4 linked regions of the Anolis sagrei genome follow. The protein of the gene in region 4 purifies or fractionates together with the protein of the main gene of each other region. This does not show direct contact. Links are inferred from orthologs where the notes say so. Each region holds a gene or a part of one and is shown on either strand. Other genes may lie near its edges. The genes, in order: E3 SUMO-protein ligase RanBP2, FYTTD1, RANGAP1 and NXF1.

What was found.
Region 1: the proteins of NXF1 (region 4) and E3 SUMO-protein ligase RanBP2 purify together in Homo sapiens (co-immunoprecipitation; 5 studies listed by BioGRID and IntAct, with this or other methods). This does not show direct contact. The link is inferred for Anolis sagrei from reciprocal best matches to the Homo sapiens genes NXF1 and RANBP2.
Region 2: the proteins of NXF1 (region 4) and FYTTD1 purify together in Homo sapiens (affinity purification with western blotting; 3 studies listed by BioGRID and IntAct, with this or other methods). This does not show direct contact. The link is inferred for Anolis sagrei from reciprocal best matches to the Homo sapiens genes NXF1 and FYTTD1.
Region 3: the proteins of NXF1 (region 4) and RANGAP1 purify together in Homo sapiens (co-immunoprecipitation; 3 studies listed by BioGRID and IntAct, with this or other methods). This does not show direct contact. The link is inferred for Anolis sagrei from reciprocal best matches to the Homo sapiens genes NXF1 and RANGAP1.

What each region holds. Positions count from the first base shown.
Region 1 is NC_090023.1:107,223,248-107,230,771, forward strand, and holds the start of E3 SUMO-protein ligase RanBP2, read left to right. Parts: upstream 1-4,403; 5' UTR 4,404-4,580; coding exon 4,581-4,655; intron 4,656-7,524. UniProt on the Homo sapiens protein: E3 SUMO-protein ligase which facilitates SUMO1 and SUMO2 conjugation by UBE2I. Involved in transport factor (Ran-GTP, karyopherin)-mediated protein import via the F-G repeat-containing domain which acts as a docking site for substrates.
Region 2 is NC_090023.1:267,833,599-267,841,688, forward strand, and holds the start of FYTTD1 (UAP56-interacting factor), read right to left. Parts: upstream 3,048-8,090; 5' UTR 2,937-3,047; coding exon 2,843-2,936; intron 1-2,842. UniProt on the Homo sapiens protein: Required for mRNA export from the nucleus to the cytoplasm. Acts as an adapter that uses the DDX39B/UAP56-NFX1 pathway to ensure efficient mRNA export and delivering to the nuclear pore.
Region 3 is NC_090025.1:161,610,975-161,618,304, forward strand, and holds the start of RANGAP1 (ran GTPase-activating protein 1), read left to right. Parts: upstream 1-4,115; 5' UTR 4,116-4,325; exon of another isoform or gene 4,326-4,385; intron 4,386-7,330. UniProt on the Homo sapiens protein: GTPase activator for RAN. Converts cytoplasmic GTP-bound RAN to GDP-bound RAN, which is essential for RAN-mediated nuclear import and export. Mediates dissociation of cargo from nuclear export complexes containing XPO1, RAN and RANBP2 after nuclear export.
Region 4 is NC_090032.1:12,370,336-12,377,734, reverse strand, and holds the start of NXF1 (nuclear RNA export factor 1), read left to right. Parts: upstream 1-4,325; 5' UTR 4,326-4,510; coding exon 4,511-4,541; intron 4,542-7,399.

The sequences.
Region 1 (7,524 bases), on a different chromosome or scaffold from region 4:
CAGAGTCCTGTGTATCTAAAATATATATAAACACAGAGCTACTTGAATATTATGGGAATTTTTCTGTATAACAGATACATATTCCTGTGTGCTTTTGTATTTCATTTCCTTCTTGTGCCTTATTCTGCCATATGTATGCAATATTAGCCAAAATAGCTATATACCGTTACCTTGTATTTTTATGCAGTCCATTCATGCCAAGGCCTTTCAAATGATATGGCATATACTCAGCCTTTTCAATGTCAATATTTTTAATGATAAAAGATAATTTTCAAAGCTAATTTCCTTTTTATTTTCTCAATTCACTTATTCCAGAATAGTACACAAAATAAAAATCTGAACGTGTACAGATTCCAACTGAGAGTGTTGTGTGTTAATTGGTTAATAAAATATAATTATTTCAGCTTCTTTCTTTGCTGGCTAGAGATTACATATAAGTAACTACAGTCCTCCATATATGCCATATACCAGTCTTTATCTTCTTGCCCATTAATCATGATGACCATATCTAAGAAACCAGAGATGGTGCGGTCTATCCAACTCACAACCTTGTGCATTTTCCTGCAGGAATCAGTTGTTTATCCCACATAAGGAATTTTTGGTTTAGAGATTTACATTATGTATCTTTGTTAAATATACTTTGCTTAGTACATTGAATGCTGGAGTACCATAGCATAGATATGCTATACATCCTTATGATTATATAACAGTATTACTTTTGGTGTATAGTAGCTTTTTGCTCTTTGTATTGCGGTCTATCCAATGCCATTTTCTGAATCAGAGCCCCAAATTACCGTAGGAATAAGTCCCAAGACCAAAGTGTTCATGGAATTTACTTCCAAATAATTGTATATAGGATTTCAAAGCTGAACTCAGTGGGAATAAACATGTAGGATTGTATTGTCATAAATTTGATTTTGCTACAAAATTACAAAGGAATGACAAATCTCATTCATAAATTAGTTTCAAATTTATAATTATGCTGACCTGATGGTTCATCAAGGTCCATCAGGAGAGGCAGATAAGAAATAAAATTATTATCATTATTATTGTCATCATCATATCACCATCATCACAATAGAAACAGTATCCAAAAATGATGTGGTGGTATAATAATAGCAATACTGTGTATAAAAACATTTTAAATATGTATTTAGTTACAATATTTTTATTCTGCCCTTCTCACCCTGAAGGGGACTAAGGGTGGATCATAGAAAACATATATATGGCAAACATTCAGTGCCAATTATAACAATGACAAGACAGGCAACAGATAGACGTATAGATGGGCTTTCCCATCTTCCAGCATCTTTGGACGCTGTGCTTGGTTCTGCTGTCGCTCCACCTCCCTGCCTCCCTGTTTAGAACTGGGTCTAAGCATTCATATCATAAATCTTGGTTCCAAAATTATACCTATCCCCAAAACTCCCAAACTATGCTATTAACTCTTCTACTACATATTATGCTGTTTCCTTGACAGTCAGGGAAACAGCAATAGTCTGGATGACCTATTTCACCAGTGGCCTTGGTAATGTCAATCCCCAGATATAAATTTCTCAGTGTCCTTTAGGCAATGTTCTTGCAGACGGCCAATTCTCTCACACCAGAAGCGACTTGCAGTTTCTCAAGTCACTCCTGACACGATAAAAAAAATCCCTGTCATGGGCTCTGTAATGTACCCACACAATAAAAAAAATCCCTCAATCACAGGCTCTGAAATGTACCCACAAGCTTTGTAAGCTCCTCAACGCCCAATCTCAATAATAACAGAACATACCTTGGGTCAAGAATCTACCGAAAATAAAGTTGTGATGGTATAAAACCGAAGACCGCTTTGTGGTGATCAGAGGTGAGACCAAGTTCTTACTTTATTTGGAAATTCATCATTCTTGGGTTAATGATAACACTAGCCAACACACATTTTGATGCCTCAAATGTTAGGCCTGTTTCAGGACATATTTGGCCTGCTGATTCAAAAACTGGCATCAGTTTCCCCCTCTCAGCTCAAGTTTTTGAGATACAGAACACATGCTATATATCAGCCTTCATCTGCTCGCCTATGAGAAATCATGGTAACCATATCTAAGAAACTAGAGCTGATGTGTTCTATCCAATGCCATTTTCTGAATCAATGCCCCAAATAATCCCAGAAACAGGCCAAAAAACGAAGTTACAATACTTTTTTTTTGTTGGTCTGTCTTACGGGTGCATCTACATTGTAGAATTAATGCAGTTTGACACCGGTTTAGCTGCCATGGCATGCAATCATGGGAATTGTATTTGGTGAGGCGCCAGGACTCTGTGCAACAGTTCCCCCGATTCTGTAGCATAGTTAAGGTTCTGTCATGCTTCATTAATTATACACCCTATGTGTATGTGTTTTCATACACTCAAAGAATTTAAATAATTTGTATAAAGCGACCCTCAAGCTATGTGAATCAGATATGAAACATTAACAAATTTCGCATTTAGACTTGGGTCTCATTTTCAAAATATGCCATTATATGCAAATACTGGTTCAGGCATGTGGGGGGGGGGGTTGAGGGGCTTCAGGGCAGGCCCGTAGCCAGGATTTCGTTTCGGGGGGGGGGGGGGGGGGCTGAATTTTTTTCAGGGGGGCTGAGTCTGAGTGAAAGAGGGTCTACCCTCTACCCTTTTGTATTATTACCCCAATACCCCCATGCATATGGGATATATTGAGTATGGTGATCAGATCATGATATGAATAAACATAACAGTTTAAATAATGCACCAGTAAGGCCTTTTCGCTGAAGCCCCCCGAGCCCCCCCCGAGCCCCCCCCCCCCAGCTACAGGCTTGCTTCAGGGTGGTCTTACTGGTACACTAGTTATGTTTATTCATAACATAACGGTGCTCCATGCAGTCATGCTGGCCACATGACCTTGGAAGTGTCTACGGACAACGCCGGCTCTTCGGCTTAGAAATGGAGATGAGCACCACACCACAGATTCGGACACAACTGGACTTCATGTCAGGGGAAAACCTTTACCTTTACCTATGTTTATTCATATCATCTGATCACCATGCTCAATATATCCCATATGCATGGAGGTATTGGGATAACGCTCCAGCAAAGGGTCACCGCCTTGTTGTGGCGCTGGAGCTTGAGCACCTCAATGATGTCATGAGCGAAACCGTGAAGGGCCACCCAAGACGGGACGGTCGTGGCAGAGAGGGCAGACCAAGCGTGATCCCTGGGGAAGGCAACGGCAAACCACCCCAGTATCCTTGCCAAAAAAACTAAATGGACCAGTACAACCAGAGATATGTTGGTATGCCATTGGAAGATGGGAAGATGACACCACTCTGATGGCCGAAAGCGAGGAGGAGCTGAGGAGCCTTCTAATCAAGGTGAAAGAAGAAAGAGCAAAAGCTGGGTTGCAGCTAAACATAAAAAAAAACAAGATTATGGCAACAAGAATGATTGACAACTGGAAAATAGAGGGAGAAAACGTGGAGGCCGTGACAGACTTTGTATTTCTAGGCGCAAAGATCACTGCAGATGCAGACTGTGGCCAGGAAATCAGAAGTCGCTTACTTCTTGGGAGGAGAGCAATGTCCAGTCTCGATAAAATAGTAAAGAGTAGAGACATCAGACTGGCAACAAAGATCCGCTTAGTCAAAGCCATGGTATTCCCTGTAGTCACCTACGGATGTGAGAGCTGGACCTTAGGGAAGGCTGAGCGAAGGAAGATCGATGCTTTTGAGCTGTGGTGTTGGAGGAAAGTTCTGAGAGTGCCTTGGACTGCGAGAAGATCCAACCAGTCCATCCTCCAGGAAATAAAGCCCGACTGCTCACTGGAGGGAAGGAGATAGAGACAAAGTTGAAGTACTTTGGCCACATCATGAGGAGACAGGAAAGCCTAGAGAAGACAATTATGCTGGGGAAAGTGGAAGGCAAAAGGAAGAGGGGCCGACCAAGGGCAAGATGGATGGATGGCATCCTTGAAGTGACTGGACTGACCTTGAAGGAGCTGGGGGTGGTGACGGCCGACAGGGAGCTCTGGCGTGGGCTAGTCCATGAGGTCACGAAGAGTCGGAGACGACTGAAAGAATGAACAACAACATTGGGATAACGATACAAAAGGTTTGCTAGGGTAGATCCTCACCCCCCCCACCCCACCCCCGAATCAAAATTCTGGCTACAGACTTGACTGGTATCCAAAAACCCGGAATCCCAAACTTCTGACCCCATTCACTTTGGGATAAGGGACCCTTAATATGTCTAACGGAACTCGGAAGGTTTCTCCCTACGCGAAGTGAGTGCATCCCTATTTATTTATCTCTATGGGCGCAAAATCGATAGGCCACACCCCTTCCTCGATACTATGAAGGAAGCGCGCCTTCTAGGCGCTTCCGCTCCACCGCTGCCCGTCATTTCCGTCGCGCCGCTGACGTAACAGACGTGTATTGAGGCCCGCGCGTACTGACGCTCGTGGTGGCGTCATTATCATCATCGTTCTTCGAGAGGGGAAGCTACGAGGCCGGCTCTGCGGGGCTCCCCACCCTCCTCCTCCTTTCTGGCGGCGCCAGGGCGCTCTGTGAGGGCCGCACGCCACCATGATGAGGCGCAACAGGGCCGAAGTCGACCGTTACGTGACCTCGCTACAGGCCTCGGCGTCTTCTCCCAGAGAGGTGAGTGGCGGAGTGCGGAGGGCTGGCTGGCTGGCTGGGTGGGGGCGTCTGTCTCAGGGAAGGGTGCCCGGCTCAGCGCTATTCCCGTCAAGGGTTCGCAGGAGGCCGCTGATTGGTGCGCACAACGTTCGCTTTTGAAGGCGTTCTCCAATGGGCTTCGGCGCGCGCCGGGCCCCTACCGCACACTCGCGCGTAAATGCGCCTCTCTCGGAAGGAGGGAAAGGAGGAGGAAGCCGGGCTGGGCCCCCGTGGTGTGGCTTCCCCTTTGCTCCTGTTTGCCAACACTTTTTGTGTAATTGGCGGGAACGCTCTTGAGTTGCATTTACACCACTATTAACAGCCATAGCTCCAATGCTATGGAATCCTGGGACCTGTAGTTTGACAAGGCCTTTAGACTTCCCTGCCAAACACTGCCAAAGTACAGGAGGATTGGAGATTTCTAGAGAGGTATGCTCTCTAGGAATTTCTAGGCCCTTGAGCACACTGCTTCTTAAACTCAGGATCCCAACCCTAAAGGAGTCGCTGTACCTCAGTGTTGGAATCATAGAAAATGTGTGTCTGAATGCCACCATTTACACAAATCTGTTAACAGTGTGTACTGTTTACAGTGGGCTCTGCAAAAAACGCTTCATCTGTATTCCACCAAAAGAAAAATAGCCTGTTTCACAAATTTTGCAAATGCTGATTTGCTATCAATAAATCTTTGTTTCTTATACCCATTTTATATACCTGGGGTAATATAAAAGTTTCTCAAGTGAAAAAGGTTTAAGAAGCCATTCTCTGTTACATCTCTGCAGTCAAACTCTGGCAGAAGTTACCATAGAGTCACACTGGAGATCTCAGAGTTTCTGGTAAAGGCAATAATAAAATCTGCAAATAGTCAGATCCATAAAGTGAACCCCACTAATGTGTAGGGTGGATTGTACATTCTCCAAACTCAACCCTAGCTATTTTGTTGACCTTTCACTTCCTATGTCAGCTTTTAAAGTATTCTATTAAAACAACATCAAATCTACAACAGCCTCAAGGCAATGCAACATAGGTTGCTGTTCGCTTCTCAATATTGTGAACGTTGCTCACGTGCAAATATCTGTGCGCTTGTTAGATTGGCCTCCAGTTGTCTGCTCTTAAATCATATGTTTCTTTTCCTCAAACACATTTAATTAGAACCCATGTATGATAATTAAAAGCTTATAGAAATTATGATGTTTGAAAATTTCTGTTTTGCAAGTTCTCACTGTAAATAATTTAATGGCTTTTCCATACTGAATTCTTGTCTACTTTGCAAGGGACCGAAGAGGCAAATTAGTTGCTTTATTTAAATTTAACTTTTGATTCTAGTTGTTAGTAGCAAGTATTCTGTTCATTGTTGTTTAAGGGTTTTGTTGAATGGATTGTTGAATGGATTAATCACCATTGTTCAAAGTATTGGTTCTAACACTCCTTGTTGTTTTTTAACCCTTTAAAATTGATAAACTGGCCCACATCCTTTCTAAATCACCAGTGGACCACTCCAAAAAACGTAACAAGTAAATATTACTCCTAATAACAAAAAATGATGTTTGATGTGTTAATTTTAAAAAATGATATTATTTGACCATGTTGCCCCAGAGCAACAAGTTACAGGTAGTAAGATGATTTCTTCCAATATGGAAAGCCTTCCATTGTTTTCACTTGTCTGAAAATCCAGTTTAATGATTGCCAACCTTGAACACACGAAACATTACTTAGTATCTATTTACAGTGTCCCTTATCCATGGCGCTTGCACCGGCAGTTTTATTTACCCATGTCTGGCAAAATATGTCCTCTCCAGGTATTTTCTAGATCCCTTAGCATGAGTTTATGGTATTCTTGAGCCAAATACCCATCATTTCAATAAGATTCGCTATTACTGTGGCTCCATGTGTCCAAGTGAAGTCCAGGAATGTGGATACACATCTCGTACTGTGTTGAATTTTAAACTAATGCAAAAAAAAAAACCTATGTTGGGCCAACAGAATATCTGATTGCACAGATCCCTGCTCTTAAAGTAGAAGGTAGCACATCAAAAAAAGAGATAGACAGGTTCCTCTTATATTTTTTGCATGCACTACTCCACTCTATTATCAGAACAGAGTTTTGCAAATTCACATTCTTCTCTGTGACACAAAAATCTTTAATTTTTTTCCTGTCTAGAAAATGAGAAACAATATTATATTCTCAACTTGGGTTCTGATAAATCACCATTCAGCATGCAGAATTCATCAATTCTGCAAAATCTAATGTTTGTCTCCATTGGCAATAACTTAAAGTGTCCTACCTAGGTAGTGGTCCGTTTATGTGGTTCTCAAGATGCCATTAAAAAGGGAGATGCTAACTGGATCTTCAGATTTAGCAGGAGATAAGACAGGTCTATAGTAAGTAGGATATCCCAGTTCAAGTCTCTCTGGCCATATAATATGAAATAAACATTTATGGCCAACGGTTGCTCAGGATGACTTGCAGTAAATCATAAAAATGTTGCATGTGTTAAGAATTGAATGTGACACGTAATTTTGCAACCACAAAAGAACTATTTGTAACTTTTAAAACTATTTAAACCAATACCAATCGGTATCGACTTAAATAGTATCTCTCAGAAATACAGTGTACTGCATTTCTGAGAGATCTATGTTCGCTTTTCTCTGTTATAAAAGGGCTAGAATGAGACATCTGTGACCTTTTTCATAATCGTTAAAAAAAACACCCCAGTAGCTTTTCCTTAACTTCCAATTTAGGTTGAAATGATGGGCTAGTATAGCTTCAGTTACACAACATTTGACACAACATTCTTTACCTTGGAACACCTAGCGATCTACATTTTTGTTGTTGAGGGAGGAACTTTTTGAT
Region 2 (8,090 bases), on a different chromosome or scaffold from region 4:
GCCTGAAGACCTGGCTGTTCCAGTGTGCCTTTCCAGAATAGGAAACTCCCGGCTTCAAGTCCCAAATGCACTTTGTTAGAGATTCAGGATTATCTGCACATTGCACCTACCTCCAAATACCTCTACATATTACATGTCAAGTTCAGCACTTTTAAATTCTGTCTATTATTATTATTATTAATATTATTATGATTATTATGACTGTGGCCAGGAAATCAGAAGACGCTTACTTCTTGGGAGGAGAGCAATGTCCAATCTCGATAAAATAGTAAAGAGTAGAGACATCACACTGGCAACAAAGATCCATTGCCTAGTCAAAGCCATGGTATTCCCTGTAGTCACCTACGGATGTGAGAGCTGGACCTTAGGGAAGGCTGAGCAAAGGAAGATCGATGCTTTTGAGCTGTGGTGTTGGAGGAAAGTGCTGAGAGTGCCTTGGACTGCGAGAAGATCCAACTAGTCCATCCTCCAGGAAAGAAAGCCCGGCTGCTCATTGGAGGGAAGGATACTAGAGACAAAGTTGAAGTACTTTGGCCACATCATGAGGAGACAGCAAAGCCTAGAGAAGACAATGATGCTGGGGAAAGTGGAAGGTAAAAGGAAGAGGGGCCGACCAAGGGCAAGATGGATGGATGGCATCCTTGAAGTGACTGGACTGACCTTGAAGGAGCTGGGGGTGGTGATGGCTGACAGGGAGCTCTGGCGTGGGCTGGTCCATGAGGTCACGAAGAGTCGGAGACTACTATACGAATGAACAACAACTATTACATTTGGCCCGGCCTGTAGGTTTTAAAGTGTGTCACGGTGTCATCGTTTTACTGTTTTATTGTTTGCTTGAGGTTTATTATTTGCTTATGAGTTTTATTTTATTTTTTATGAGTTTTATTATGTATTGTATATTGTTGTTGTTGGCGGCCTTGGCCTTTGTAAGCTGCATCGAGTCCTTCGGGAGATTTTGCGGGGTATAAATAAAGTTAATAATAATAATAAAGGGCGGCATATAAAATGCTGTGAAATAAATAAATAAATAAAGGTTGTTGTTGCTGTTCATTCGTTCAGTCGTCTCCGACTCTTCGTAACCTCATGGACCAGCCCATGCCAGAGCTCCCTGTCAGCCATCACCACCCCCAGCTCCTTCAAGGTCAGTCCCAAGAAGGAAGCGTCTTCTAATTTCCTGGCCAGTCTTTATCTGCAGTAATCTTTGCACCTAGAAATACAAACCCTGTCACGGCCTCCACATTTTCTCCCTCTATTTTCCAGTTGTCAATCATTCATTCATGTTGCCATAATCTTGGTTTTTTTGATGTTTAGCTGCAACCCATAAATAATATATTGTGTGTGTGTGTGTGTGTATATATATATATATATTATTAAACTCCAGCATTATGTCCCAGAAGCACTTTATTAGAATTTTAAGATTCTCTGCACATTGCACTTGCCCTGAAATCCAACATGCCACCTGTCACACCCAGCACTTTTTAATTCTGTACCCATTACTTGGCCCGGCCCTAGTTTTTTACTGTGTCATGGTGTAATGTTTTGTTGTTATTGCTTTATGTTTTTGATTTTGCTTTGAGTTGTTTTGTTGTGCTGTTGTTGTATTGTGGCCTTGGCCTTTGTAAGCCGCATCGAGTCCTTCGGGAGATGCTAGCGGGGTACAAATAAAGTTTAATAATAATAATAATATATCTTGTAAGCCGCTTCGTCTGTTAAACATGATCCAGATCTTCTAGACCACAGAGTTCTAGATATTTAAGCTTTGTTCTTATACTTTCAGTGTTTTTTAAATACTGCTAGAGATACGAAAAATTAGTGTCTAATTTTATACTAATGGGTTCTTGTGGGTTTTTTCGGGCTATAGAGCCATGTTCTAGAGGCATTTCTCCTGACGTTTCGCCTGCATCTATGGCAAGCATCCTCAGAGGTAGTGAGGTCTGTCAGAAGTAGGAAAAATGGGTTTATATATCTGTGGAATGGCTGGGGTGGGGCAAGGAGCTCTTCCCTGCTGCAGTTAGGTGTGAATGTTTAGCTGATCACCTTCATTAGCATTTGAAGGCCTGCCTGAGCCTGGGAAAATCTGTTGCTGAGAGGTGTTAATCTGTGCCTGGTTTTTTTCCTCTCTGTTGTTTTGCTGTTGTAATTTTAGAGTTTTTTTAATACTGGTAGCCAGATTTTGTTCATTTTCATGGTCTCTTCCTTTCTGTTGAAATTGTCCACATGCTTGTGGATTTCAATGGCTTCTCTGTGTAGTCTGACATGGTGGTTGTTGGTGTGGTCCAGCATTTCTGTGTTCTCAAATAATATGCTGTGTCCAGGCTGGTTAATCAGGTGCTCTGCTATGGCTGACTTATACTAATGCTTTAATTGCTTTTTCAGAAAGCAGGTTGAAACCAAATCTGAAAATCTATGTTGTTTACATTTTTCACCTTGAGGGTGAAAAGGGTGGCATATAAAATGTCGTAAATAAATGTCGTGGAATAAATAAATAAATAAGTACCGCTTTATAAGGAAATGTGAGAAAAATGCCGGTGATTTGATCCCCCACGTGGCTGGAACTGAGCACAGCCTCCAAGATGTCAAAGATTGGAAAGCCTATATATATATATACACCTCTATCTAATATAAGGCCACGCCCCCTCCCTGCAGGAGCTGCCAATCAATTTCGGCCCCGCCCACGTGGGGGCGGCGCCAACGTTCCCTCTCGCTCCTTCCTCGGGATGGAATCCTCCAAAGCCGCCCTCCCCTCCGCTCTGCTTCCAATGGTACATCCCACAGGCCCAATTCTCTCCCCCCCCCCTTTCTGATACAAATGGATGGCCCCAAGCTTTTAAATTCTCCTCACCCAGCGACATGTCGATTTTTTCAACTGTTTCTCCGCCGGTGCTCCGGAGCGGGCCGAGGCCAGCGCTGCCCCCGCCGCCGCCGAAGCCGTTCATGGCCGCTGGAAAGGCCTCTCTCGCCAAGCGCTTCACACACAGAGATGGAGAGAGAGAGATAACCGTGAGGCGATGGTGCTCGCCTCCTTCTGCGCATGCGCGAGCGCCGCAGTGCGCACGCGCGCCGGTTGTGGCCTCGAGCCGGCAGGGGAGGCAACGCCTCCTGCGCGTGCGCCGGCCCCGCGAAGAGGGGACGGGCGAGGAGCTTGTTGCTTAGGGCTACTGCGCGTGCGCGTCTTACACCGGCCTCCTTGGCCTTCAAAGGAGCTCAGCTCCCCCTGCTGGCCAGGAGGAGTATTGCAGCGTCCTGCAATCACTTAAAGGCATGTCTTCTATCTATCTCTCTATCTCTCTACTTATCTCTCTACTTATCTACCTATCTCTCTACCTATCTACCTATCTCTCTCTCTATCTACCTATCTCTCTCTCTATCTACCTACCTACCTATCTCTCTACCTATCTATCTACCTACCTCTCTACCTATCTCTCTACCTACCTATCTATCTACCTATCTCTCTATCTCTCCATCTATCTATCTGCGTTGTTCATTCGTTCAGTTGTTTCTGACTCTTCCTGACCTCATGCACCAGCCCTATCTATCTATCTATCTATCTATCTAGCTCTCTACCTATCTATCTCTCTACCTAATCTACCTACCTACTTACCTATCTATCTACCTACCTCTCTACCTACCTACCTACCTACCTATCTACCTATCTCTCTATCTCTCCATCTATCTGCGTTGTTCATTCGTTCAGTTGTTTCTGACTCTTCCTGACCTCACGCACCAGCCCTATCTATCTATCTATCTATCTAGCTCTCTACCTATCTATCTCTCTACCTACCTATCTACCTACCTACCTACCTACCTACTTACCTATCTATCTACCTACCTCTCTACCTATCTCTCTACCTACCTACCTACCTATCTATCTACCTATCTCTCTATCTCTCCATCTATCTATCTGCGTTGTTCATTCGTTCAGTTGTTTCTGACTCTTCCTGACCTCATGCACCAGCCCTATCTATCTATCTATCTATCTATCTACCTATCTATCTCTCTACCTACCTATCTACCTACCTACCTACTTACCTATCTATCTACCTACCTCTCTACCTATCTCTCTACCTACCTACCTACCTACCTACCTACCTACCTACCTATCTATCTACCTATCTCTCTATCTCTCCATCTATCTGTGTTGTTCATTCGTTCAGTTGTTTCTGACTCTTCCTGACCTCATGGACCAGCCCTATCTATCTATCTATCTATCTATCTTAATAAAATACAGATATGGACCAGCCCTATCTATCTATCTATCTATCTATCTATATTAATAAAATACAGATATGGACCAGCCCTATCTATCTATCTATATTAATAAAATACAGATATGAACTTACTTACTTCTTACTTACTTAGGCGATCCCTCGTTGGACGAGTAAGATGGTCTTCCATCATGGGTTTCCTTGTGGGTCCGCATGTGGCTGTGGAGCCCTATTCTTGCTCTGCATCTTCTTCCGCAGTGAGGGCATTGGTTTCCAGGTGGAAGGCGGTCCCGGTCGGGGTTGGCTTGACGCGCCTTCCTCCTGGCACGTTTCTCTCTTTCACCCTCCACTCGTGCCTCCTCGAATTCTGCAGCACTGCTGGCCACAGCTGACTTCCAGCTGGAGCGCTCAAGGGCCAAGGCTTCCCAGTTCTCAGTGTCTATGCCAGAGTTTTTAAGGTTGGCTTTGAGCCCATCTTTAAATCTCTTTTCCTGTCCACCAACATTCCGTTTTCCGTTCTTGAGTTCGGAGTAGAGCAACTGCTTTGGGAGACGGTGGTCAGGCATCCGGACAACGTGGCCGGTCCAGCGGAGTTGATGTTGGAGGACCATTGCTTCAATGCTGGTGGTCTTTGCTTCCTCCAGCACGCTGACGTTTGTCCGCTTGTCTTCCCAGGAGATTTGCAGGATTTTCCGGAGGCAGCGCTGATGGAATCGTTCCAGGAGCTGCATGTGACGTCTGTAGACAGTCCACGTCTCACAGGCATATAGCAGGGTTGGGAGGACAATAGCTTTATAGACAAGCACCTTGGTCTCCCTACGGATGTCCCGGTCCTCAAACACTCTCTGCTTCATTCTGGAAAATGCTGCACTGGCAGAGCTCAGGCGGTGTTGTATTTCGGCGTCGATGTTGACTTTGGTGGAGAGGTGGCTGCCAAGGTAGCGGAAATGGTCCACATTTTCTAATGTTACGCCATTAAGCTGTATCTCTGGCATTGGAGAGGGGGCGGCTGGTGACTGCTGGAACAGCACTTTGGTTTTCTCGATGTTCAGTGACAGGCCAAGCTTTGTGTATGCTTCTGCAAAGGTGTTGAGAGTGGCTTGTAGATCTTTTTCTGTATGCGCACAGACAACATTGTCATCAGCATACTGGAGTTCTATAACAGATGTTGTTGTGACCTTGGTTTTGGCTTTCAGTCTGCTGAGGTTAAATAGCTTGCCGTCTGTCCGATAGATGATTTCCACTCCGGTGGGAAGCTTCCCATCAACAAGGTGTAGTATCATGGCGATGAAGATGGAGAATAAAGTTGGGGCAATAACACATCCCTGTTTGACACCCGATTCCACCTTAAATGGGTCACTTTGGGAGCCATTGCTATCCAAGACTGTTGCCATCATGTCATCGTGGAGGAGCCGCAGGATGTTCACAAATTTGCTTGGGCACCCGTTTTTGTGGAGGATGGTCCAGAGAGCGCTGCGATTCACTGTGTCGAATGCCTTTGCAAGGTCGATGAATGCCATGTACAGAGGTTGGTTTTGTTCCCTGCATTTTTCTTGGAGTTGTCGTGCAGTGAAGATCATGTCCACAGTTCCTCTGGAGGGGCGGAAGCCGTTCTGGGATTCTGGGAGGGTGTCTTCTGAGAGGGGCAGAAGGCGGTTTGCAAGGATTCTTGCGAGGATTTTCCCAGCGGAGGTTAGAAGGGAGATACCTCGATAGTTTCCGCAGTCTGTTCTTTCCCCTTTTTTGAAGAGGGTGATGATGGTGGCATCCTTGAAGTCTGCTGGGATTTTCTCGGTCACCCACACTTTTTCTATGAGCTGGTGGAGTTGGTGTGTCAGCGCAGGTCCTCCCTCTTTAAAGATTTCAGCAGGGATCCCATCCGGTCCGCTGGCTTTGTTGTTCTTTTGTTGGCTGATGGCATTGCTGACTTCTTCCAAACTAGGCAGTGCTGCAAGCTCATCCCTGGTTTGTTGTTGCGGGATTTGTGAGAGGACCTCTTCGGCCACACTGGAGCTGCGGTTTAGGAGGCTTTGGTAGTGTTCTTTCCAACGTAGTGCAATTGACTTTTGGTCCTTCAGGAGTTTGGTTCCGTCTGATGAGCGTAGAGGCTGTATGCCATGGTTTCTTGGCCCATAGATGACCTTTGTGGCTTTGAAAAATCCTTGAGCATTATGGGTATCTGCCAGGTGTTGGATTTCTTCAGCCTTCTTTGTCCACCAGATGTTCTTGAGTTCTCTTGTCCTTCTTTGGACCTCAGCTTTTGCACTGGCGTAGATCTTTTTCTTAGCAGCACAGTTGATGTCTCTCTGCCATGTTTGGAAGGCTTTCCTTTTCTTGTCGATTAGCTGTTGGATCTCGATGTCATTTTCGTCAAACCAGTCTTGATGTTTCTTGGCTTGGTATCCAATAGATTCTTCGCAGGCTTGGATGATGGAGGTCTTCAGTTTGTTCCAGTGTTCCTCAACATTTTCGGGGTGTACTGTGGGTAGATGGTCCTTGAGTGCTGTTTGGAGATGGGCTCGCCTGGAGGGCTCTTGAAGGGCTTGGGTGTTCATTTTGCGCCTTGTCTTTCTTCCTTGGAGTCTGCGCTTGGGGGCAATCTTGATAGCCATCGTGGATCGGATTAGCCTGTGGTCGGTCCAGCAGTCGTCAGCACCTGTCATGGCTCTTGTGAGGAGTACGTCACGGCGGTCTCTGGCACGTGTGATTACATAGTCTAAGAGGTGCCAATGCTTTGACCGTGGGTGCTTCCATGATGTCTTGAACTTGTTTTTCTGGCGGAAGAGCGTGTTGGTGATGACAAGGTTGTGCTCCGCACATTTGGTGAGAAGCAGGATGCCATTCGAGTTGCTGTTTCCAACCCCGTCTTTTCCTATGGTGCCTGGCCACAGGTCGAAGTCTCGCCCGACTCTTGCATTGAAGTCCCCCAGGAGAATGATTTTGTCCTCCTTAGGTATCCCCGATAGGACGTTGTCCAGCTGACAGTAGAATTTCTCCTTGATGTCTTCATCAGCGTCTAGTGTTGGTGCATAGGCACTTATGATGGTTGCCCGTTGGTTTTTGGCAAGATCAATTCGGAGGGTTGAGAGTCGTTCGTTGATGCCAGTGGGTGCTTCGGAGAGATGTTTCACCAGATCATTCCTGATGGCAAAGCCAACTCCGTGCAGTCTTTGGTCTTCTTCGGGCAGTCCCTTCCAGAAGAAGGTGTAGCCTCCTTTTTCTTCCTTCAGCTGTCCCTCTCCTGCTCTCCGGGTCTCCTGAAGGGCTGCTATGTCGATGTTGAAGCGTCCCAGCTCCCTTGCGATGATGGCAGTTCTGCGTTCGGGGCGTTCACTGTCACTGTTGTCCATCAGAGTCCGTACGTTCCACGTACCGAAGTTCATTTTCCTTTTTTGGCCGCAGGGTGGTGACCCCACTGGACGCGGCAGTCCAGTCAGGGATAAGTGAGGCAGACTATGTTTAGGGCACCTTTTCTAGCCCCCTCCCCGTGTGGGGTGAGCAGAGTGGGTCCTAAAAAGGGCTGCTCAGTCGCGGATACAGCTGCCGAACTACTCAACTGCCTCGGACCTTGAGGTAGAGCGACTGAGTCCGTACCCACCGCCCATGTGCCAGTCTGTGACTAGGGGCTTCCAGATTTCACAGTCCTGCCCCCGTCGCCACTCGCTGATCGCCATGGGACTTTGGTTGCTTGGTTTTTATTTTCTTTGGAAGACGCCTGTGCGTGGGTTTTTTTAATGTGTGGAGGTCAGTGCACAACTGAACAACACACAGTCTTCACAGATGAGGTTCCACTGGTGATGTAGTTTAACACAATGACCGTGGCTTCTCAGTCTGTTGCAGCCTTCTTCCGCCTTCGCAGCCGTTGTAACATGTGCCATGTTATCC
Region 3 (7,330 bases), on a different chromosome or scaffold from region 4:
GAAAGCATTGATCATATCCTCAGCTGCTGCAAGAAAATCACACAGACAGACTACAAACAGAGAGACAACTATGAGGCCCAAATTATTCATTGGAACTTATGTCAGGAGTACCACCTGCCAGTAGTAAATAACTGGTGGGACCATAAACCTGCAGTTCCATCTTGTCTCCTGCAATGTGCTTATAATATGATATAATATAATACAATATAATATAATATATTGTATATACATATAATATTGGTAATATTATAATGTAATACAATGTAATACTAATAATAATATTATAATTATATATTTTATATTACATGTAATATTACTAACAATATTACAGTATAATGTTATAGTACAATCGAATATATAGTATTAATATTGTGCTAGATCCGCATAGTTAAAGCAATGGTATTCCCCATAGTCACCTACAGATGTGAGAGCTGGACCAAGGGGAAGGCTGAGCAAAGGAAGAGATGTTTTCGAACTGTGGTGCCACAGGAAAGTTCTGAGAGTGCCTTCGACTGCGAGAAGATCCAACCAGTCCATACTTCAGGAAATAAAGCCCGACTGCTCATTGAAGGGAAGGATAGTACTGCTCATTGAAGGGAAGGATAGCACCGGGATTGTGGCGCAGCTGGCTGAGTGTCAGCTGCACTAAGATCACTCTGACCAAAAGGTCATGAGTTTGAAGCCAGCCCGGGCTGGAGTGGGTGTCCAGCCATTGTGTAGCCTGTTGTCGACCTTTGCAACCCGAAAGACAGTTGCATCTGTCAAGTAGGAAAATAAGGCACCACCTTGTGTGGGAGGCTAAATTTAACTAATTTATGAGGCCATAAAGAAAAAAGACTCCGGGGAATGTGGAATGCGGAAGAACTTCATCGGTGTCGCTGATGGACGATGAAAAGCAGCAGCTCCCCTGGCGGCCAGAAAAAAGTTAAATAGCCTTGGTGTATTTGTGTGTTAAACGTTGTTTGTCAAAACTGGCACTGAATGTTTGCCATATATGTGTTGACTGTAATCCGCCCTGAGTCCCCTGCGGGGTGAGAAGGGCGGAATATAAGAACTGTAAATAAATAAATAAATAAATAAATAAATAAATAGTAGAGGCCAAGATTAAGTACTTTGACCACATCATTAGAAGAAAGGAAAGCTTAGAGAAGACAATTATGCTGGGGAAAATTGAAGGAAAAAGGAAGAAGGGCTGACCAAAGGCAAGATGGATGGATGGGATCCTTGAAGTGACTGGATTGACCTTGAAGGAGCTGGGGGTGGTGACTGCCAACAGGGAGCCGGACACAAAGAGTCAGAAACGACTGAACAAATGAACAACAACAAAATGGTAATATAATATATTGTATTTACTTTTTACATGTAAGCCGCTCTGAGTCTCCTTCGGGGTGAGAAGGGCAGCATATAAATGTTGTAAATAAATAAATAAATAATAGTGTAAATGTGTGTGTGTGTCAGGAGTGACTTGAGAAAGTGCAACTTGTTTCTGGTGTGGGAGAATTGGACATAAAATAATATTTGGACATAAAAAATTAAAAATGATAATACAATAACATTTATATTAAAAACACTCATTTGGAGAGTACGCAGGAATATCCTGTCACCTGACATCAATTTTCTTGCGGCTGATAATCCTTTTTTTAATGCATGCACAAATATTGTTTTACCTATGAAAGTAATCATTGTGCTTTGTATTTTTTCACAGATCTCTTGCTACATTCATATGCAGAACAAAAATACATTTATATATATTGTATAACTTGTAATGCCAAAAGAACAGAGAGGAGTGGAAGTGTTTGGAATTAAAGCTGTCTCAGTTTTCTTTGCTTATGCACTCTCTAATGAACTCTATGCTCTCTCCATTCCTTCCTCTTTCTATTAATGGGATTTCCCCCTCTTCATAGTCACCAGCTGATTAATGTGTATATTCTAATTTTAATGTGTATGTCACCATATGTGTGTGTGTATGTATGTATATACTGTGGGCTACTGAAATGATCAAAGGTCTGGAAACCATTAATCCCTATGAGGAGCATCTTAAAGAAATGAGTACGGTGTGTTTATACTGCAGAAGAGAAGACTGAGAGGAGACATGATGGCCATGTATAAATATGTGAAAGGATGTCATAAGGAAGAGGGAGAAAGCTTCCTTTTTGCTGCCCTGGAGACTAGGATTCAGAGCAATGGGTTCAAATTACAGGAAAGGCGATCCCACCTGAACATTAGGAAGAACTTCCTGATTGTGAGGGCTGTTCAGCAGTGGAACTCACTGCCTTGGAGTGTGGTGGAGGCTCTTTTTTGGAGGCTTTTAAACAGAGATTAAGATCTTATTGGGAGGCCCTGTTCTCAGTCTCGTCACCATCACAGTGATTGGCGGGGATGAGAGACAGGGCCTTCTCAGTGATTGCCTCCCTGGCTACGGAACTCCCTTCCTGGCAAGATTAGATCAGCCTACTCCCTCCTGTCATTCAGAAAGATGGTAAGAGCTTGGGTTTTTGCACTGCCTTTGGAGCAGTGCAATAAGGCAACAACAGAAAACTTTACACTGCCAACCAAAGTCAATATGGCTGTTTTGAGACGATTTTAAATAATTGATTTCAAAGTGGGATAACGGATTTTAATGTTTATGTTTTTTTATAGTTTATTTATGTTCTGGCATTTAATGTTTGCCGTATATGTGTTGTGCTCTGCCCTGAGTCCCCTTCAGCGTGAGAAGGGTTGGAATGGAAATGTTTTTTAAAAATAGATAAATGAAATAGAGGCTGGATGGTCCTCTGTCGGGGTGCTTTGAATGTGATTTTCCTGCTCCCAGGCAGGGGTTAGACTGGATGGCCCACAAGGTATCTTCCAACTCTATGATTCTGTTGGCCTGCTTCTTGAAAGCAATACTTACAGAGTAATTCTATTGACTTTGGGTGCATGTACACCAGGCATAGGCCAACTTGGGCCCTCTAGGTGAGGCTGAACCTGGAACTCCCTGCCTTCAAGTTGATCTGACCCACAGCAGGGAGTTCCTCAGTTCTCCATTGCCCCGCTTGGGCCAACCGCATGAACGTGACCACAGCAGCAGCTGCAACTCAGAAGCCTTCTAATTTCTTTGCCTTTCCCCCTTACTAACATTGTAATGAATCCCCCCAATAAAAAGTATGAATTAATTGTAACTTTTTTCCTCTCCATAGTGTTACTTTGTGTCCCTTTACTGCCTCAAACTTCTCTTTCGATAAACCTTTCTTCTCCCGGGCTGCAGATAACTGCCGGCCCTCCCGGAATGCGATTTTCGCATCCCGGGGAGGCCGAAACTGCACTCCCTTAAACAGCGGGTATGGAAACCCTTCGGGGCCCCGTATCTGCGAGTCAACGGATCGCTTCTAAAATTGTGTCATTCTTCTCCTGGGAGAATTCTAATACTAATGGCTATCTTAGTTTTGCTCTGCTGCCCCGGGAATAACCTTTTTAGCCTCTAAAACCCCAACCTGGCGTCCAGCTGTTTTTTCAAAGATGTTGCCTTGCGGGAGCCTCTAAATTCTAGCTCGATATCAGGAGTTGAAGTCCAAAACACCTGGACGGCCCAAGTTTGCCCGTGCCTGGTCTACTGGCTGTTAGGAATGGTGGGAGTTGAAGTCCAAAACACCTGGAGGGCCCAAGTTGGCCTGATCTACACTGTAGAATTAACACAGCTTGAAATCACTTTAATTGCAGTGGCCCAATGGTATGGAATAATGGGAACTGTAGTTCGGTGAGGTACTAATACAGTACTCTTTGGCAGAGAAGACTAAAGATCTTAAACTACAACTCCCAGGATTCCATAGGATTGAGCCCTGGCAGCCAAAATAGTTGTCAAACTGCGTTAAGTCTAGAATGTAGATGGGCACAAAGAAACAAGGAAATTCCGTCTTCTACACAAGGTCCAGGAGCCTTCTCTAGTCTAGAACCCAATTGGTAAGGAATGCTGCTTCCTGGTGCCTTCCTCAAACGGCTTCAAACGTTTGGTTATTAAAAACTACAACTCCCATGATGCCTCGCGACAAAGGCGGCTGCGTCGCGAGGCACGAAATTGTGACCTCCCCCTCCCGCTGCCCACCCGCCTCAGTCTCTGAGCCACCCCTGGCTGCACGAGGAGGGCCTCTGGGAGGACGAGGAGGAGGACCAAGATCCACTCTGCGCAAGCGCAAGAAACAGAAGCGCTAAGACAGCGAATCACCATCCAGGAAACAAAACTGCCGGCTTTCAAATCCTCCGCCTCCTGCTAACGCCATCCTCCTCCCCCTCTTCTCCAGAGGCAAGAGCGCGGCGACGTGAAGGGCTGCGATCGGGGGACTCCGCAGGTTCGTGGGTTTGATTTATTGGAGCACGTTTGACTAAACGGCGGAAAGAAGCGTGGGAGGGTGAGTTAATTATTTTTGTTCCTCTGAAATAAAGTTTCCTCGCGTTTCCCGGCAGTTTGAGGAAGGAAAGACACGCTGGCGTTTGGCCCCAGGGCTACACGTGTGGGCGCATCCACACGTCGTCACGGTACACGTGTCCTGGGCTATTACAGACCGGGATTGGAAAGCCTATCCAAAACTGATCAGTTTCTTCCGTGTGTGACGTCACGCCCCGTGGGACCAAAGGCCTGGGCAAACATGGGCCTTCCAGGTGTTTTGGAGTTCAACTCCCATCATTCCTTACAGCCTCAGGCCCTTTCCTTTTCCCCCTCAGCCGCTTAAGCGGCTGAGGGGGAAAAGGAAGGGGCCTGAGGCTGTGAGGAATGATGGGAGTTGAACTCCAAAACACCTGGAAGGCCCAAGTTTGCCCATGCCTAGTCTACACCGTTGAATTAATTAAGTTTGACACCACTTAAGGTGTCTCAGTGGTGTGGTATCATGGGAGCCTCAACAAACTACAACTCCCATTGAGCCTTGGCAGTTCAAGCAGGACCAAACTTCATTAATTCTACAGTGTAGATGATTATATAAATGATGACAAAAATAAATTGGAAAATGCATAGGAAAGGGATAGTAGTAGTAGTAATAATAATGCTCAGATGATTCATTGGAACTTGTGCCACAAATACCATCTGCCTGTCACAAAGAACTGGTGGGATCACAAGCCGGGAAAAGTTACAGAGAATGAACATGTCAAACTCCTCTGGGACTTCTGGATTCAGACAGAGTTTTGGAGCACAATACTCCTGACCTCATGAGTATGGATCGTCGATGTTGCAATCCCAGGTGACAGCAGGATTGAAGGGAAACGACTGGAAAAGCTGACACGATATGAGGATTTAAAGATCGAACTGCAAAGACTCTGGCACAAGTCAGTCAAGGTGGTCCTAGTGGTGATCGGCACACTGGGTGCAGTGCCTAAAGACTTTGTCCTGCACTTAAACCCAATCGGTACTGACAAGATTACCATCTGCCAGCTGCAAAAGGTCACCTTACTGGGATCAGCACACATTATTTCCCGATACATCACACAGTCCTAGACACCTAGGAAGTGTCTGATGTGTGATCCAATACAACAGCCAGCAGAGTGATCTTGTCTGCTATGGACTCATCTTGTTGTGTTTCAAATAATAATAATAACAATAACAACAACAACATTATTTGTATTCCACCCTTTCTCCCTGAGAGGACTCATGGCGGATTCCAGCATAACAATGGCAAACATTCAATGTCTTCATAAAACACACAATACTAATACGAATAGTAGGGATATCAGATCAGCCCCCAACCTCATAATATTTCGTAAAAAAGTTAAAACTTGGCTTTTTGTGCAAGCTTTCCTAAATGCAGTGTAGCAGACAAACTGATCTTTGGAACAACTGGACAATGCGATGAGATAATGATTTTAGTAATGAGACGCTGAGGATTTATACTTTTATGGGTTTTATTATTTTATTTAATGTTATTTATGCTAAATGTATTAATTGTTTTTACGTTATTGTGAATATCAAATTGTGCCATTTGCCCTGAGTCACCCTTGGGCTGAGATTGCAGGATATAAATATGGTAAATAAATAAGGAACCCCCAGTGGTGTAGTGGGTTAAACCGCTGAGCTGCTGAACTTGCTAACCGAAAGGTTGCAGGTTCGAATCCAGGGACTAGTGTGAGCTCGTGCTGCTAGCCCCAGCTTCTGCCAACCTAGCAGTTTGCAGTAGATCAATAGGTACCACCCTGGCAGGAAGGTAATGGTGCTCCATGCAGTCATGCCAGTCACATGACCTTGGAGGTGTCTATAGGCAATGCCAGCTCTTCGGCTTAGAAATGGAGATGAGCACCAACCCCCAGTCAAGCATTGTTAATGTCAGGGGGAAGCCTTTACCTAGTAAGAATAGTGAGGAATCAGGAGCGGCTCATTGCCTCCATATAGTAAAAAAGTTGATATATGATTCGTGATTTCCATGAATAATTAAGAAATAATGCAGTTGCAGTCCTTTTTGAATTTCAGAAGCGATCCTAGTTGGATGTATTGTTGAAGGCTTTCATGGCCGGAATGACTGGGTTGTTGTGAGTTTTCTGGGCTGTATGGTCATGTTCCAGAAGCATTCTCTCCTGACATTTTGCCTGCATCTATGGCAGGCATCCTCAGAGGTTGTGAGGAGGTCTGTTGGAAACTAGGCAACTGCTAGACCATTAAATCCTAATCAAGGTGGCCAGTTGAAACATTCACACCTACCTCAAACAGACAAGAGTTCTTTCTCCCACCCTGGACATTCCATAGATATATAAACCCCATTTTCCTAGTTTCTAACAGACCTCACAATCTCTGAGGATGCCTGCTATAGATTCAGCTGAAACGTCAAGAGAGAATGCTTCTGGAACATGGCATACAGCCCGGAAAACTCACAACAACCCACTGATCCTAGCTGGCCTTGTGGATTAAGCGCAAGTAAAAGCCAGTAAATACTACACAATACTGGTCCTATCAACTACAAATGGGCTGCTCCATCTCCAAATTGCATTTCTGACAATGCAGCCAAACTCTGTGGGTCAGTGGAAACATGTGAGGAAAAGGGACCTTTTGAAATAATGTGTGTTTAGCGCTTTGAAAGAGATTACTAGCAGTTTTTGTATTGTGCTCAGAAATGCTACACAAAGCTGTTGTACTGCAGTTGCAAAGGGATCCCTTACGTAAACACAAAGTACACTACAAAACCATTATTTCCTAAAGCTGCCACTTGATTGGGTTACTGTGAGTTTTCTGGCTATATGTCTATGTTCCAGAAGCATTCTCTCCTGATGTTTCGCCCACATCTATGGTAGGCATCCTCAGAGGTTGAGGGGTCTGTTGCAAACTAGGCAAACTACATTTATCCAGCATCTGCTAATCCCCATGAATGCTGGTTAA
Region 4 (7,399 bases):
ATCTATAGATCGGTACTTGAAGTAGCTGCGAAATTAAGGGAGTTTGGGGCAGTATTATCTGCCCATCTCCGGTGAATTCATCCTTGGCAGCTCTTTCTCTACACATCAGCATTTTTGCAAACAAAGGCCCTTTGTAAAAGCAGGCACATAGGATTTTCAATAATTGAAAGCATCACTGAAAATTCCCTTTAAAAACTATGTCACCCTCAAAGGCACTCTAGAATTTTCCTTCAGCACCACAGTTCAAAAACATCATCTTCTTTCGCGCAACCTTCCTTATGGTCCAGTTCTTATATCCATAGGTTACTATGGGGAATACAATTGCTTTAACTATGCGGACTTCCATTCTGATGTCTTGACTCGTCACTCTTTTATTGAGATTGGTCCTTGCTCTCCTCCCAAGGAGGAAACATCTTCTGATTTCCTGGCTGCTGCCTGCAGTCTGTCGCTGCTTCCATGTTTTCTCCCTCTATTTGCCAGTTATCAATCAGTCTAGTTGCCATAATCTTCAGTTTTTTGATGTTTTAACTGCAACCCAGCTTTTGCGCTTTCTTATCAAGTTGGTAAAGTCCAATTCATGGTTCAGATATTCCTTGCGTTGGCTGCCAGAACCTCCACACCATCATGCATTGCGGTTTTCTCCATTTTGCTCTCCCCTCCCTTCTCATTTCCTTTCATTCCCTTCTTGTTATTCTTTCTTCTTCCCTTCCTCTTCCTCATACACATGTCACCTGGCAGCAGTCCATCTGCCTCACTCCCTTTCTTTCCCAGTCACATCACTGAGGGCCACTTCACCCAGCAACAATCCGCTTCCTTCCTTTTCTGAGCTTGAAAGGAGCTGTGGGGTTTTTTTAAAAGTTCAACCCCTTCAATTATTTCAATTAGGATAATTTATTTGTCATGTCAGGACAACCGGTCATATTATATTACATTTCTAACAGAACAAAGCAAACAAACAGAATACACAATTTGTGTGTTTGGTAGATGATTAAATGTCCTTTGACCAGTATCTGGCCACTTGGAGTGCCTCTGGTGTTGCTGCAAGAACGTCCTCCATTGTGCATGTGGCAGGGCTCAGGTTGCATTGCAGCAGGTGGTCAGTGGTTTGCTCCTCTCCACACTCACATGTCGAGGATTCCATTTCTGAAGGTTGGCTCTGCATCTCGTGGTGCCAGAGCGCAGTCTGTTCAGCGCCTTCCAAGTCGCCCAGTCCTCTGTGTGCCCAGGGGGGAGTCTCTCATCTGGTATCAGCCATTGATTGAGGTGCTGGGTTTGAGCCTGCCACTTTTGGACTCTCGTTTGCTGAGGTGTTTCAGCGAGTGTCTCTGTAGATCTTAGAAAACTATTTCTAGATTTAAGTCATTGACGTGCTGGCTGATACCCAAACAGGATGAGCTGGAGATGTCTCTGCCTTGGTCCTTTCACTATTGGCTGCTGCTTCCCGGCGGATGTCAGGTGGTGCAATACCGGCTAAGCAGTGTAATTTCTCCAGTGGTGGAGGGCGCAGACACCCCGTGATAATGTGGCATGTCTAATTAAGAGCCACATCCACTGTTTTAGTGTGGTGAGATGTGTTCCACACTGGGCATGCATACTCAGCAGCAGAGTAGCACAGCGCAAGGGCAGATGTCTTCACTGTCTCTGGTTGTGATCCCCAGGTTGTGCCAGTCAGCTTTCGTATGATTTTGTTTCTAGCACCCACTTTTTGCTTGATGTTCAGGCAGTGCTTCTTGTAGGTCAGAGCACGGTCCAGAGTGACTCCCAGGTATTTGGGTGCGCTGCAATGCTCCAGTGGGATTTCTTCAGAGATGGTGATCTTCAGGGCTTGGGATGCTTCTCTGTTCTTGAGATGAAAGGCACATGTCTGTGTTTTGGATGGGTTGGGGATCAGCTGGTTTTTTCCTGTAGTAGGCAGTAAGGGCACCTAGAGCTTCCGAAAGCTTCTGTTCTACCATCTCAAATCTCCCTGCTTGAGCAGTAATGGCAAGATCATCAGCATAGATGAAACTCTGTCCCTTCTGGCAGTGGCTGGTCATTTGTGTAGATGTTGAACATGGATGGAGCAAGCACGCTCCCCTGAGGCAGGCCGTTCTTCTGTTTCCGCCATCTGCTTCTCTGGCCCTGGAACTCAACAAAAAAAGCTCCTGTTTTGTAGCAGGTTTCCTATGAGGTGGGTAAGGTGGTCGTCCTTTGTGATATTAATTTGGATAATGAAGAGGTGTGTGTGCCAAGTTTGGCCCAGGTCCATCAAGCCAGGGAGGAGCCTTTGTGGTACAAACAAACAAACAAATGTTAACTTAGTCAATATAATTATAGGTTAGGTTCTTGTGGGTTTTTTTCGGGCTATAGAGCCATGTTCTAGAGGCATTTCTCCTGACGTTTCGCCTGCATCTATGGCAAGCATCCTCAGAGGTAGTGAGGTCTGTTGGAATTAGGACAATGGCTTTATATATCTGTGGAATGGCTGGGGTGGGGCAAGGAGCTCTTCTCTGCTGGAGGTAGGTGTGAATGTTTCAGCTGATCACCTTCATTAGCATTTGAAGGCCTGCCTGAGCCTGGGAAAATCTCTTGCTGGGAGGTGTTAATCTGTGCCTGGTTGTTTCCTCTCTGTTGTTTTGCTGTTGTAATTTTAGAGTTTTTAAATATTGGTAGCCAGATTTGTTCATTTTAATGGTTTCTTCCTTTCTGTTGAAATTGTCCACATGCTTGTGGATTTCAATGGCTTCTCTGTGTAGTCTGACATGGTGGTTGTTGGTGTGGTCCAGCATTTCTGTGTTCTCAAATAATATGCTGTGTCCAGGCTGGTTCATCAGGTGCTCTGCTATGGCTGATTTCTCTGCTTGGAGTAGTCTGCAGTGCCTTTCATGTTCCTTGATTCGTGTCTGGGCATTGCTGCGTGTGGTGGTCCCTATATAGACTTGTCCACAGCTGCATGGTATACGGTAGACTCCTGCAGAGGTGAGAGGATTCCTCTTGTCCTTTGCTGAACGGAGCATTTGTTGGATTTTCTTGGTGGGTCTGTAGATTGTATGTTGTGTTTCCTCATCAGCTTCCCTATGCGGTCAGTGGTTTATTTATTATTTATTTATTTACCTTACTTATATACCGCTGTTCTCAGCCCGAAGGCGACTCACAGCGGTTCACAACAAATACGAACAGCAAAAATTCAGTGCTACAGTATAGAAACAGTTAACAACCTAACACATTACACAATTAATAAACAGTTACTACAATACCCATTCACTGTCGTCTCGTCATCAAAAACATGTTCCAGATTCGTCATCCATTGTTCCATTCCAGTGTTCATTAACCAATCATTGCACTAATTATTGGAACGCCTGCTCAAACAGCCAGGTCTTCACCTTTTTGCGGAATACCATTAGAGATGGTGCTAGTCTAATGTCCGTAGGAAGGGCGTTCCACAGCCGAGGAGCCACCACCGAGAAGGCCCTATCTCTCGTCCCCGCCAGCCGAGCTTGAGAAGCAGGCGGGATCGAGAGCAGGGCCTCCCCGGAAGATCTCAAAGTCCTGGTGGGTTCATAGGCAGAGATGCGGTCAGATAGGTATCTTGGGCTGGAACCGTTTAGGGCTTTAAAGGCCAACGCCAGCACTTTGAAATCAGCCCGGTAGCAGATCAGTAGCCAGTGGAGTTGGCACAACAGGGGGGTTGTATGCTCCCTGCACTCTGCTCCTGTTAACATCATGGCTGCCGAGCGTTGGACTAGTTGGAGCTTCCGAGCTGTCTTCAAAGGCAACCCCACGTAGAGAGCGTTGCAGTAGTCTAAACGGGATGTAACCAGAGCGTGGACTACCGTGGCCAAGTCAGACTTCCCAAGATACGGGCGCAACTGGCGCACAAGCTTTAGCTGATGTATGGCAGGAACCCTTTTCCTCTGGGTGGATCTTCATCTTGACTCTCGTGGCTTGTTCTCGGTCTTGCAGCTCTTCTGATGTCTGAGGTGGAGTCTCCATTGGCCTGGCGAGCCCAGTTGAGGTGGTTCAGTTCATCTTAGTTAACTTAGCCAGTATAATTATAGGTTATTTTGTTAAGTTGGACAATGAAAAGCCTGTGTGCCTAGTGTGGTCCAGATCCCTGAAGCCATGGAGAAGGCTTTGTAGTACAAACCCACACGCATAGAAGCGTCACTCTCTAATCACCGGGCTCCATGTCCTCGGAGAGAAACAAGAAGGCTGGAGCCGAGTTGCGCGCGCATTCCGGGAAATGTAGTGGCATCTAGAACAGTGCGCATGCGCCTGGCGTAGTAACCTGCCAAGAGGCCCCTCACTCGCTGACGCAACTACGCATGCCTGGACCGAACGTGCTCACGCAAACGCCCTTCCGGGCATGCGCAGTGCCGTCAGCGAGTGAGGGGCCTTTCTTTCGACGCCTCTGGCTCGATTCGACCGGCTGTTTCTGAGGCGAAGACGCATCCCGTCGGCCTTGTGACGTCTTCCGCTGCCGCTCTCCACTTCTCCGCGCAGGAGGCTCGTGGAAGGCCCGTTCCGGTCGATGGCGGACGGAGGGAAAGGGGGCTACAGCGGTAAGGGCCTCAAGGGAGCCAGAGGCGGGTCGGGCGCCTGGGAAGGCCTCGCCGAGCAGCAGAGGCCCAACCAGACCTCCGTTGCGGTGAAGGGATTAGGCCTCTGAGAGGGAAGCTGAGCCTAAAGATCCTCGAGTTGGAAGAGACCCCAAAGGTCATCCAGCCCAGGCAGGAAGGAACTATCCAAGCCCTCCTGACAGATGGCCATCCAGCCTCTGAATCCTCCAGTTGGAAGAGGCCCCAAGGGTCATCCACCCCCGCCCCCTTCCGCCAGGCAGGTGGGCCCCACCAAAGCTCTCCTAAGAGATGGCCACTCAGCCTCCGCTTGGAAAGCTCCAGAGAAAGACACTTTCACCATCATTGTTATCAACTATTACTATTGTTACTATTGTTATGGAATCCTAGGGTTTGAATAATACCCCCAAGGGTCATTCAGTCCGACCCTCTGTCACGCAGGAAGACCCCAAGAAAGCACTCCTGACAGATGGTCATCTAGCATCCTTTTAAAAACCTCCAGAGAACGACATTCCATTATTGTTGCTGTTGTTGTTGAATCCTAGAGTTGGAAGAGGCCCCCAGGGCTATTAGAGCTTAAGACTCTCTGCACATTGCACTTGCCCAGAATATTTATTTATTTATTTACCTTACTTATATACCGCTGTTCTCAGCCCAAAGGCGACTTACACAACAAATACAAACAGCAAAAATTCAGTGCTACAGTATAAAAACAGTTAACAACCTAACACATTACACAATTAATAAACAGTTACTACAATACCCATTCACTGTCGTCTCGTCATCAAAAACATGTTCCAGATTCGTCATCCATTGTTCCATTCCTATGTCATTGCCAGTCATTGCACTAATTATTCGAACGCCTGCACAAACAACCAGGTCTTTAATTTTTTGCGGAATGCCATTAGAGATGGTGCTAATCTAATTGTGGGAAGGGCGTTCCACAGCCGGGGAGCCACCACCGAGAAGGCCCTATCTCTCGTCCCCGCCAGCCGTGCTTGTGATGCTGGCGGGACCGAGAGCAGGGCCTCCCCGGAAGATCTCAAAGTCCTGGTGGGTTCATAGGCCGAGATGCGGTCGGATAGGTAGCTTTGGCCGGAACCGTTTAGGGCTTTAAAGGTCAACACCAGCTGTTGCTGTTGTTGTTGTTGAATCCTAGAGTTGGAAGAGACCCCCAGGGCTATTAGAGCTTAAGACTCTCTGCACATTGCACTTGCCCAGAATCCCAACATATCACCTCTTACACCCAGCACTTTTTAACCTGTACCCTTCATTGGCCCGGCCCTGGTTTTATTGCGTAATAGTGTAATGTTTTGTTTTTGTTATTGCTTATGTTTTTAATTTGCTTGCATTGTATTGTTATTGTCTGTTGTTGTTGTTTGAGGCCTTGGCCTTTGTAAGCCGCATCGAGTCCTTCGGGAGATGCTAGCGGGGTACAAATAAAGTTTAATAATAATAATAATAATCATCATCATCCAGTCCATCATCATGATTATTATTAACTACTATAATTTTACTGACACAAAAGCACAGTATGTCACAGCAAACAAGATCCATATGCTGGATTTCGTATAAAAAAATCACAAGTTGAACCCTTCCCAAGCGTCTAGGACTGTGTAATGTATTTTTGGAAGATGCGCGCAGATCCAAGTCAGGTGGCCTTTTGCAGTTGACAGATTGTGATTTTGTCAATGTGTATTGTTTCCAAATGCCGGCTGAGATCTTTTGGCATGGCATCCAGTACACCAATGACCACTGGGACCACCTGTACTGGTTTATGCCAGAGCCTTTGCAGCTCGATTTTGAGGTCTTGATAGCAGCTGAGTTTTTCCTATTGTTTTTACTCAATACAGCTGTCACTGGTATGGCGACATCAATAATCCAGACCTTTTTCTTTTCCACAATCGTGATGTCTGGTGTATTGTGTCCCAAAACTTTGTCAGTCTGGATTTGAAAGTCCCACAGTATTTTTGCATGTTCATTTTCCACGACCTTTGCGGGTTTATGATCCCACAAAGGATCATAAATATGTGGTACTTGTGACATAAGTTCCATTGAATCATCTGGGCCACAGAGTTGTGTCTTTGTTTGTAGTCCGTCTGTGCGATTTTCTTGAAACACCTGAGGAGATGGTCCATGGTTTCATCTGTTTTCTTGCACAGTCTGCATTTTGGGTCATCCGCTGATGTTTCAGTCCTGGCTTTAATGGCTTTTATTCTGATGGCTTGCTCCTGGGTTGCAAGAATCAGGCCTTCTGTCTCCTTCAGTGTTCCATTCGTGAGCCATAACCAAGTTTTCTCCCTGTCAACTTTTCCTTCAATTCTGTTAAGGAACTGTCCATGCAATGCTTTGTTGTGCCTGATGTGAGCTCTGGTTTATCTATTATTATTATTATTATTATTATTATTATTATTATTATTGAATCCTGGAATTGGAAGAGATCCCCAGGGCCATCCAGCCCATCATCATGATTACTATATTATTATTATTATTATTATTATTATTATTATTGAATCCTAGAGTTGGAAGAGACCCCCCGAGCCATCCATCATCATTACCATCATCATCATCATTATTATTGAATCCTAGTTGGAAGAGACTCCCAGTGCCATCTCATCCAACCCCCTTCTGCTAGAAAAGAACACACAATCAAAGACATCCCAACAGATGGCCACCTAGCATCTTATTAGAAACCTCCAGAAACCTTATTAGAAACCTTCCTTCATCATCATGATTATTACCTATTACTGTTGTAGAATCCAACGGTTGGAAGAGACCACCCAGCATCATCATGATTGTTATTTATTATTATTATTATTATTATTATTATTATTATTATTGAA